Linked DNA regions of Kluyveromyces lactis. The protein of the gene in region 1 interacts with the protein of each later gene in a biochemical or structural test. Links are inferred from orthologs where the notes say so. Each region holds a gene or a part of one and is shown on either strand. Other genes may lie near its edges.

Region 1 (3,692 bases):
AGAAAACCATCCTCTTCTCTTGCATTCTATCAAAGAATCTCATCACAATCTGCACCTGGCTAATCTGCAATAAGAATACAACAACTAAATCGATACCAGCAAATACCTTATCGCCCCAAAGAAGATTCAAAAACGATGTAGATGACACATAACCATTATAAGTATAATTCTCTGCAATATTCTTCCATACTCTAATGACAAATATGGAAAGGTTTAATGATGCCAACAACGCACCCAATTTCAAAATGTACGACGCCTTACGACTGGGTTTGGTAGGAACGTTGATGAAAACGATCACCGTTAGGAAAACAGTGATGATAAAGTTGGCAGTAACAGAATAAATGACAGAATAGATGCTGTATTTGAACGGTCCTGTATATCCATCGTTGTTGATATAACTATTCCAATCGAAAGCCACAATAGGAAGATACGGACACTCATCCTCTAACTCCACAAACGATGAATATAATGGCGTGCCGTCTTGACAATTACTTGTAAACACTAATGACTTGATATAGGCGAACTTATCGGGTAGTTTATTCCATATTAGCACACCTTCGTCTAATTGGACACCTTGACAACTTGAATAGTCCTCTGACGGGAAATGATATCTCCATCTGGAACGCCCTGTCATATTGATCTATAACAGTGAAATTAACTTCGATACTAAACACCATCCAACATCACACATCAGCAGCCGGTCTCCAGTACCACACAGATGAGCTAATGGGTTATTTAACTTATATTTCTCTCTCCGTTTTACTAATTTCCTTTCAAGTCTTCAATGCTCATCGCAGGTGTGGTTTTAAGTCTAAAAGTTCAAATATGAATGTGGAGTATAAAAGAAAGGCGTGACATACACTTGTAGTTACCATTACCATTAGAGTAAACCTACAAACAACCTCCACAGACTCACTATGTGGTACCAGACTCCAACACTGGGGGCGAACACATGTCCTAGGTGGTATAAACCACGAAATGTGTACTGAATGTTCTTTCACGTGACAATCACGTGAAAAAAGCATGACTGAAATTGATTTCTCGATCTGTTTTCATTACTGCTTAAAGGATTTCTGATCAAATGACTAGCAGGTTTGAAGCTCTCACACTCTACAACCAAAATTCAAGAGAGAGGCATAGGTCTTTCAAGGTGCTAAGGGACGTGTTTGGTTTTCATATCGGGCAGATAAATATCCAAAGTTGCAACATACCAAGATCTGAGACGCGTAGCTGAATTCAAAGCTCATCAAGGTAACTTTTTCCAGTTTGTTTTGGTGATTTTTTTTGTTTATAGAACATCACATGACTGTAAAACCGAAGGTGAAACTAGATGAATCAGGATCAAAATCAGGCAAATCGTATGTATAAAGGTCCAATACGTTTACACACGATGTTTTCGCCGAGTGTACCAGACCTGAATCGAAAATTCAGTGATTTGAATACTAGTGAACAGTCAATTGCTGTTAGTGACGGGGGAGTTGCGTTACGGAAGAATGTTGTTAGAAACAATTCTAACTCGGAACGTATATCTGGAAGCAAACGCCCCAAGAGCACGATATTAAGGGAGAACTCAGCTGGATTATCTCTGATAAATCTATACTACGATTTGGATGATGAGAACGAAGAAGAGATAGGTCAAGTTTCGATGAAGGGACATAAGATCAATCAGAATAACAGTGGATCATCAGAATTGGAGTTGAATGAGGGAGCGTTAACACTAGCAACCGAGGATAAGACCATTAATTTAGATGATAGTGGGTCATCAGATGCGTTGAATGGGATCGGTCAATTGCCCACGCCAGAATCGGAATCTCGTGCGAGTCAATTGCTTGGAAACTCGTCTCTGATAGAAGATGCAGCTTCAATCAAGGTGAAGGATTCACATTTGGATAGGTATGGATTCATGAAGCAGAACCAATATATCTCAGAGAAACAATATAACGAATGGTGGTCAGAGTACTCCAAGTACTGCATTCGAAGGAAACGGAAATGGAAAGACCTACTTTTAAAATCAGGTTTACCAGTAGATAATGATTCTCCAAGTCGATTCCCTTCAAAGTCGGAAAAGTTGAAGAGATACGTGCGAAAAGGTATACCAGCTGAATGGAGAGGTAATGCTTGGTGGTATTTTGCCCGCGGTCAAGAGCTTTTGAATAAAAACATTGGTGTTTATGATAAATTACTGACTAAGATCAATGATCCAAGCTTTACAAGTAAAGATACTGAGATTATAGAAAGAGATTTACATCGGACTTTCCCTGATAATATCCATTTCCAAAGATCCAAGGTCAGTTCCGAGGACCCACTAATTATAAAATCTTTAAGGAGGATCTTAAAGGCTTTCGCCATCTATAACGCTAAGATCGGTTATTGTCAATCGATGAATTTCTTAGTTGGTCTTTTACTATTATTCATGGATGAAGAACGTGCATTTTGGATGCTAGTAATAATGACATCTAGGTACTTACCAGGAGTGCATAGTATTAACCTGGAAGGTGTCAATATTAACCAAGGTGTGCTTTTACTATGCATAAAAGAGTATCTGCCACACTTTTGGCAAAGAATATATTCCAATAAAGATCAACAACACAGTCCCGGCCTATCCAATAAGAACGAATTTCTCTATAAGTTGCCACCAGTCACACTCTGTACTGCCAGTTGGTTCATGAGCTGTTTCATAGGAGTAGTACCTATTGAAGCTACCTTACGTATATGGGATTGTCTCTTCTATGAGGGTTCACACATTCTTTTCAAGATGTCGTTAGCGATCATCGAACTAAGCGAGACCAATTTACCAAAATTAAATCACGTTAGCAGCCGAAACTCAGACGATGAAGACATGGAATTATTCCAAGCTATTCAAACATACCCTAGACGGTTGATAAACCCCAACGATATTATAGACAAAGCCATCTTCAAGAGGAGATTGAGATTCAATGCACTCAATCAAGAGGAAATCGAACGATGTAAGAAGTACGTTATCTCTCAAAGAGCCAAATACAAGAACTTCCAAGATGTAATGAAGAATGAAACCACCAACTCCAATAATAAGAGAGACTCCAAATTGGCACAGGAACTGATCAATGAAACCTTTTCTAACGAAGGATACGGATTCAAGAAGGGTTTAAATGGGGTAAATTGGAATAATAACATCAAAGAAAGAGTACGTAGATTGAGCAGAAAGAGGTAATTCTCTCATCACCAATGGAAGAAAGAGCAGAAATATCTAAAAGTATAAAATCACTACATATATAACCGGGTTGTTTTGCATTATGGACCAACAAATGACATGTTCTATCTTTTACTTACTCAACTCCCAACCTTTCTGTAGCCTTCCAAGGGCCACTGAGGCCGTGCTAGCATCCAAGCTACTCTCTAAAACGGTTCTAATTTTATCCCAAGGCAAATCAATATCTGTTTGAGATGAAAGATCCAACTGTGGATCCTCCATATCGACATCCATCAACTCAAGTTCAGGTTCAGGTTCCTGCGCTGGTTTCGGCAAAGGTGCTGTTTCCACAGGTTTCTCTGCTTTGGAAACCATTGCGACAAGGGATATTTTATCCTGGTTCAAATCGGAGACCAATTGAGTGTCGTGGAGGACTTTACCCTTTAACAACAACTTGATTTGACCAGTTGTATATATCTCAGGCTCGGTTTCCACTAAGAATTCCTTGATCTGACCCACGGTA
Region 2 (2,370 bases), on another chromosome or scaffold:
ATCATTTGTTTCTGATGCTCGGACAGTGATTCCCACCTAAGTATTCTGGGTCGCCAGAACTCTTCTAACGCAAATTCCTTGTAACGAAAAAACGAGCTAGCAGTACGCTCCAATAATAGCACATCATTCTCCTCATCTTGGCCATCCATGACAATTTAAAACCCAGGTTGAATCCTTTAGAGTTTCATCACGCATGTATCATCATTCATACATCTCATTACCTGAATAGAGTTCTCTATGATTGAATTCATGAATAATCGATCAATACGGGGATCCGAAAAATTCACTACGCCAATATATATAGAAATAAAATGTAGGTACAAAAAATGTAAATCTAACTGATTTATGTATTACTGGTTATCTTAAACTTCTACTATGATGATATTGGAATATTATAGGCACGGTAGATATCTTGTTCTATTGGCTCCTTTCCTCTGGTTAAAATTAATTTCATCGATTGTTAATATGAATCATTTCGTTAGGCCATTTCCCCTAAAAAGAGGATAGGGTCGTGAGTATTAACAACCACATGAGTTGGGATTCGAGGTATCATCGGGTTTGTTCAAGTCGATCCTTCCATCTTCTGTTCCACGTAACCCATCGGTATTGGACCCATCCGACTTCTTTAAGGGTATTTTCTCTCCAATGGCCAAGAACACTTCGTTGACGTTATCACCAGTCTTAGCGCTAGTCTCGAAGAATAAAAGGTTCTCTTCCTGTGACAATTTTTCAGCCTCTTCTTTGGCTACTTTCCTATCCTCTTCAGATTCCAACAAATCCATCTTATTTCCAACCAATGCGATTACAATCCCTTTGCTCGCTTGTTCGTGTAATTCTTTTACCCAGTGGCGAGCCTTGATAAATGACTGCGGCTTTGTTACATCATAAACCACTAAAGCTGCTTGAGCATTTCTATAATACATTGGGGCCAACGATGCAAATCTTTCCTGACCAGCAGTATCCCAGATTTCAAACTTTATTGTGTGGTCAGCCATATTTACTCGCTGTGTTAGAAAGGCTGCTCCAATAGTGGGTTCTTTATTCTCAGCAAAATCATTGGACACAAAGCGCAAAACAATGGAAGATTTCCCCACCGCAGCTTCTCCTAGGAGTACCAACTTGATAGACGTAACGTTTGAATTCATTTCCTAGTACCTTACAACTGAAAATGACCTTAATATCAATGACGACCAGGTAAATCAAGATTTCTTCTTCGAAAGTTGGTTAATATGATGACTGTATGCTCGAGAGATTGTTTAGAAGAAAATGTGTCTGTCTACAATCTCAAAAACTAATTCGTACACTCTTGTTACCGATAGAGCAATCTGCTACTCCGGTTGTAAACGTTACGTTTCAATAAAAGTAGGGAGCATCGTTCATCCTTTTTTTAGTTTTATTTAGTTTTAGTATCTTTTCCCATAACGAAAACAAGGCTTTTGAATGTTGATAGTAGGTCACGTGCTTGGTGAACCTTCCTTCGAATCAGTGTGTTTATATAAGTGTCAAAAACGGTTATTTAACTAAATAACAACACTTTTATGCTAAGACTGCGGGTTCAGAGTTTAGATTCTTCTGGTTTGGTGGCTTTGTGGTTGAGTTCTAATTTACCATCAATGCCCTCAGTTTCTTCACCGAAAAAGACAACGGTGACAGTCAAGTCGTCTCTGTAACGTCTACTCTTCGTTGGAGGTATACTGACCAATGTAGAAACGTATTCTTTGTTACCGCCTCCACTGAGAGCGTTTCTGATTAGATGAGTTGCTACGTTTTCGTCTTGCATGAGATATTCGCTCTTAGAGTCAGGTTTTTTGGAGCTTTGGTACCTAAAAGCAGGCCTTTGTGCTTCTTTGTCTGGGGAGATGTCTTCTAGCTTTGGTAATTTACCTTGTGGAGATTGTTCCTTCAACATTTTGAAATTCTTTTTGATAGGATGTGATTCCATCCATTTCACAACGAGACCTGCGATTTCGTCATTACTCAACAACTCGAAAAGACCATCAGATCCTAAAACCATGAATTTAGTTTTAGGGTCCACGTTTGTTGTGGTTATTTCCGGCTTTGCTGTTACGTAAGGAGGTGTCAAGAAATCTTTAGGTTCCCTCCTGAAATATATCTTCAAATGGTCAGGTAGATCATAAACGGTTTTCCCATTTATCTCTTTCACTTTGTACCTGTAGTCACCAAAAGCCCTTGAAGGTTGGAGAGATCCTAGTATTCTACCCTGACGTACACAGTTTGGTTCATCAGGGTGCTCCTTCTGGATTCTCTCGACCTCTTGTACATTATCACCAGTCTGATCGGTACTTAAGGATTTTACAGTCCAAGCACCATCGTCAGACTGTTTTACCAAAATAGCACGTGAATCTCCGG
Region 3 (2,327 bases), on another chromosome or scaffold:
TTTCTACTTGGCATCAACTATGTTCTATTGGGCTGCTCATTTAATCAATACTGGTGCTAGAGTGTGTCTGGGTCCATTTGCTAAATGTTATTTGGCACCCTTCTTGATGAAGTTAGACAGAATGAGAGATGTTTGTAAAATGGTCAACATTAAGGTTTACAGTATTTACGTGGAACTTGCATACATTCCAATAAGCCGCACGTTGTTACCTGACATAATTTCGATCTTGGATGACACAGATTTGACTAGCTCTCATGAATTACGTGTGAATTTGACTTTAGCAGAGAAACTTTTCTCCACACAATCGTTGGTTATGGACCATGCTGGTAAAGTGAAGATCTTAGAGTTCGTTTTGGACAAATTGTTCTGTAAGAGTTTTGTAGAGGTTCGTCTCAAGGCTTCCTATGTCCTTGCCGGTATCGTGCATAACATATCTTATGATACCGATACTTTGCACACTCTCTTGGAAAACTTCAAGCGTCAACTTGGTTCATATACTTTCGAGGAGAAAGCTGCACTCTCCAAATCCAACACAGATATTCACGGTGCGATCTTGGGTCTCGGTGCCATCATCGAAGCATTCCCGTACGTTTCACCGTTACCAAATTGGATTCCAGAGAATATGGCACTACTAGCGTCCTGGGCAAGAACAAGCGGTATGTGCGGTGCTGATGCAAAGAACATCATCTCTAGATACAAGAAAGTTAGAGCAGATACCTGGCATTTGGACAGATACCAGTTCACCTCGGAGCAATTAGAAGATATGGAAGGTGTTCTTTGGAGGAGTTACTACGCCTGAGAAGTTGCACAATCGACACAGATGACCCACAAGCTGCGTATGCACATGAATATATATGTACATCTACAAGTATAAATCGTATAATTTAACTTGACATTGGGTATGCCTATCACCATATACGAATTCGATCAGTATCTAGATTTTGGACAAATATTGTTTGAAAGGGTGAAAGCAGGATAGCCATCACGAAAGGCACTAACCCAAACACTTTACGGCCGAGCTATTAAAACCCAGATTCTGTTGACCAGATATAACCAGCTCGCCACTCCTCCAATATATCGAGATAAAATAACAGTGTTGAACTGTGATATCAATTTTTTTCACTTAATTGAAGCGTGAAGGAAACAAGGGAGATTGAAACTATAATGTCTGGATTAAGAACGGTTTCTGCTAACGGCAGCACGAATAAAAACTATGATTCTGTCATGAAGATTTTACTTCTAGGTGATTCCGGTGTAGGTAAATCATGTCTTTTGGTTCGTTTTGTTGAAGATAAGTTCACACCAACTTTCATCACCACAATCGGTATCGATTTCAAGATTAAAACCGTAGACATCAATGGGAAACGTGTGAAGTTACAACTTTGGGATACTGCTGGCCAGGAACGGTTCAGAACCATCACAACCGCATACTACAGAGGTGCCATGGGTATTGTATTGATTTACGATGTTACTGACGAAAGAACTTTTGAAAACATCAGACAATGGTTCTCCACTGTTAACCAACATGCTAGCGAGGATGTAGTAATGCTGCTAGTCGGAAATAAAAAGGACATGGATACAAGAACCGTGTCTTACGAACAAGGTGAAGCTCTTGCTAAGGAGCTAGGGATCCCATTCATTGAAGCCAGTGCCAAAGACGACACCAACGTCAGCGAAATCTTCTTCACATTGGCCAAGTTGATCCAAGAAAAGATCGATGATGGTAAGATGGAAGGAAAGGCTGAAAAGGAGGGAAATGTAAGCATTCGTGGCTCAGGCTCTTCAGGCTCCAAGTCCAATTGCTGCTAAACCACAGATCAGAGCGTACAATAAGAAATAACAACCTATGCATTGGCTTTGTGTGTGTACATATATATATATATTCAAATGGTATGTATTAGAAAGTTCAAAGGTAACTTTACACGACCATTCCAAATCAGGTGATTTACACGTGACGTAAATAATCACATGACCATCTCCACGTGCCACTCAAGATCAATATAAAATTGCCCAACTTTCCCAATATAAGGGCATCGATGATTATATAAAGAGTGCATTAGAAGGAAATGCAAATAAAGAAACAGATATAAGGATGGACTTAAAGATTTTATTTAGCCAATAAACAGTTGGGTAGATTTCTATTTTCTTGTTCAGCTTCCTTGTATCTTGAATTGAGAAGTGTAATCCTGATCACCATCTTCAGCTTTATAACCAGGAAGGGTTGCTGTTTATTATAACCCTTATAATATTGTCAAAAGAGGGATTTGGTCTTTTTAAATTCAAGGCACAATGCTATTTGGTGTGAAGCTAGCTAATGATACTTATCC

The links. The genes of interacting proteins can lie anywhere in the genome.
Region 2: of the proteins of MSB3 (region 1) and VPS21, one has a biochemical effect on the other in vitro, tested with the Saccharomyces cerevisiae proteins (3 studies listed by BioGRID, with this or other methods). The link is inferred for Kluyveromyces lactis from reciprocal best matches to the Saccharomyces cerevisiae genes MSB3 and VPS21.
Region 3: of the proteins of MSB3 (region 1) and SEC4, one has a biochemical effect on the other in vitro, tested with the Saccharomyces cerevisiae proteins (3 studies listed by BioGRID). The link is inferred for Kluyveromyces lactis from reciprocal best matches to the Saccharomyces cerevisiae genes MSB3 and SEC4.

Annotation. Positions count from the first base shown.
Region 1 is NC_006037.1:671,868-675,559, forward strand, and holds MSB3 (Rab GTPase-activating protein MSB3), read left to right. Parts: upstream 1-1,330; coding exon 1,331-3,190; downstream 3,191-3,692. Other genes in the region: RIM21 (Rim21p), read right to left, coding at 1-634; MDY2 (Mdy2p), read right to left, coding at 3,302-3,692. UniProt on the Saccharomyces cerevisiae protein: Regulates exocytosis by functioning as a GAP for SEC4. Stimulates specifically the GTPase activity of YPT6. Also required for efficient polarization of the actin patches.
Region 2 is NC_006039.1:1,172,104-1,174,473, reverse strand, and holds VPS21 (Rab family GTPase VPS21), read right to left. Parts: upstream 1,146-2,370; coding exon 519-1,145; downstream 1-518. Other genes in the region: KLLA0_C13750g (S-adenosylmethionine-dependent methyltransferase), read right to left, coding at 1-149; type 2C protein phosphatase PTC5, read right to left, coding at 1,556-2,370.
Region 3 is NC_006041.1:1,074,135-1,076,461, forward strand, and holds SEC4 (Rab family GTPase SEC4), read left to right. Parts: upstream 1-1,164; coding exon 1,165-1,809; downstream 1,810-2,327. Other genes in the region: proteasome activator BLM10, read left to right, coding at 1-799; VTC2 (vacuolar transporter chaperone), read left to right, coding at 2,290-2,327. UniProt on the Saccharomyces cerevisiae protein: Involved in exocytosis. Maybe by regulating the binding and fusion of secretory vesicles with the cell surface. The GTP-bound form of SEC4 may interact with an effector, thereby stimulating its activity and leading to exocytotic fusion.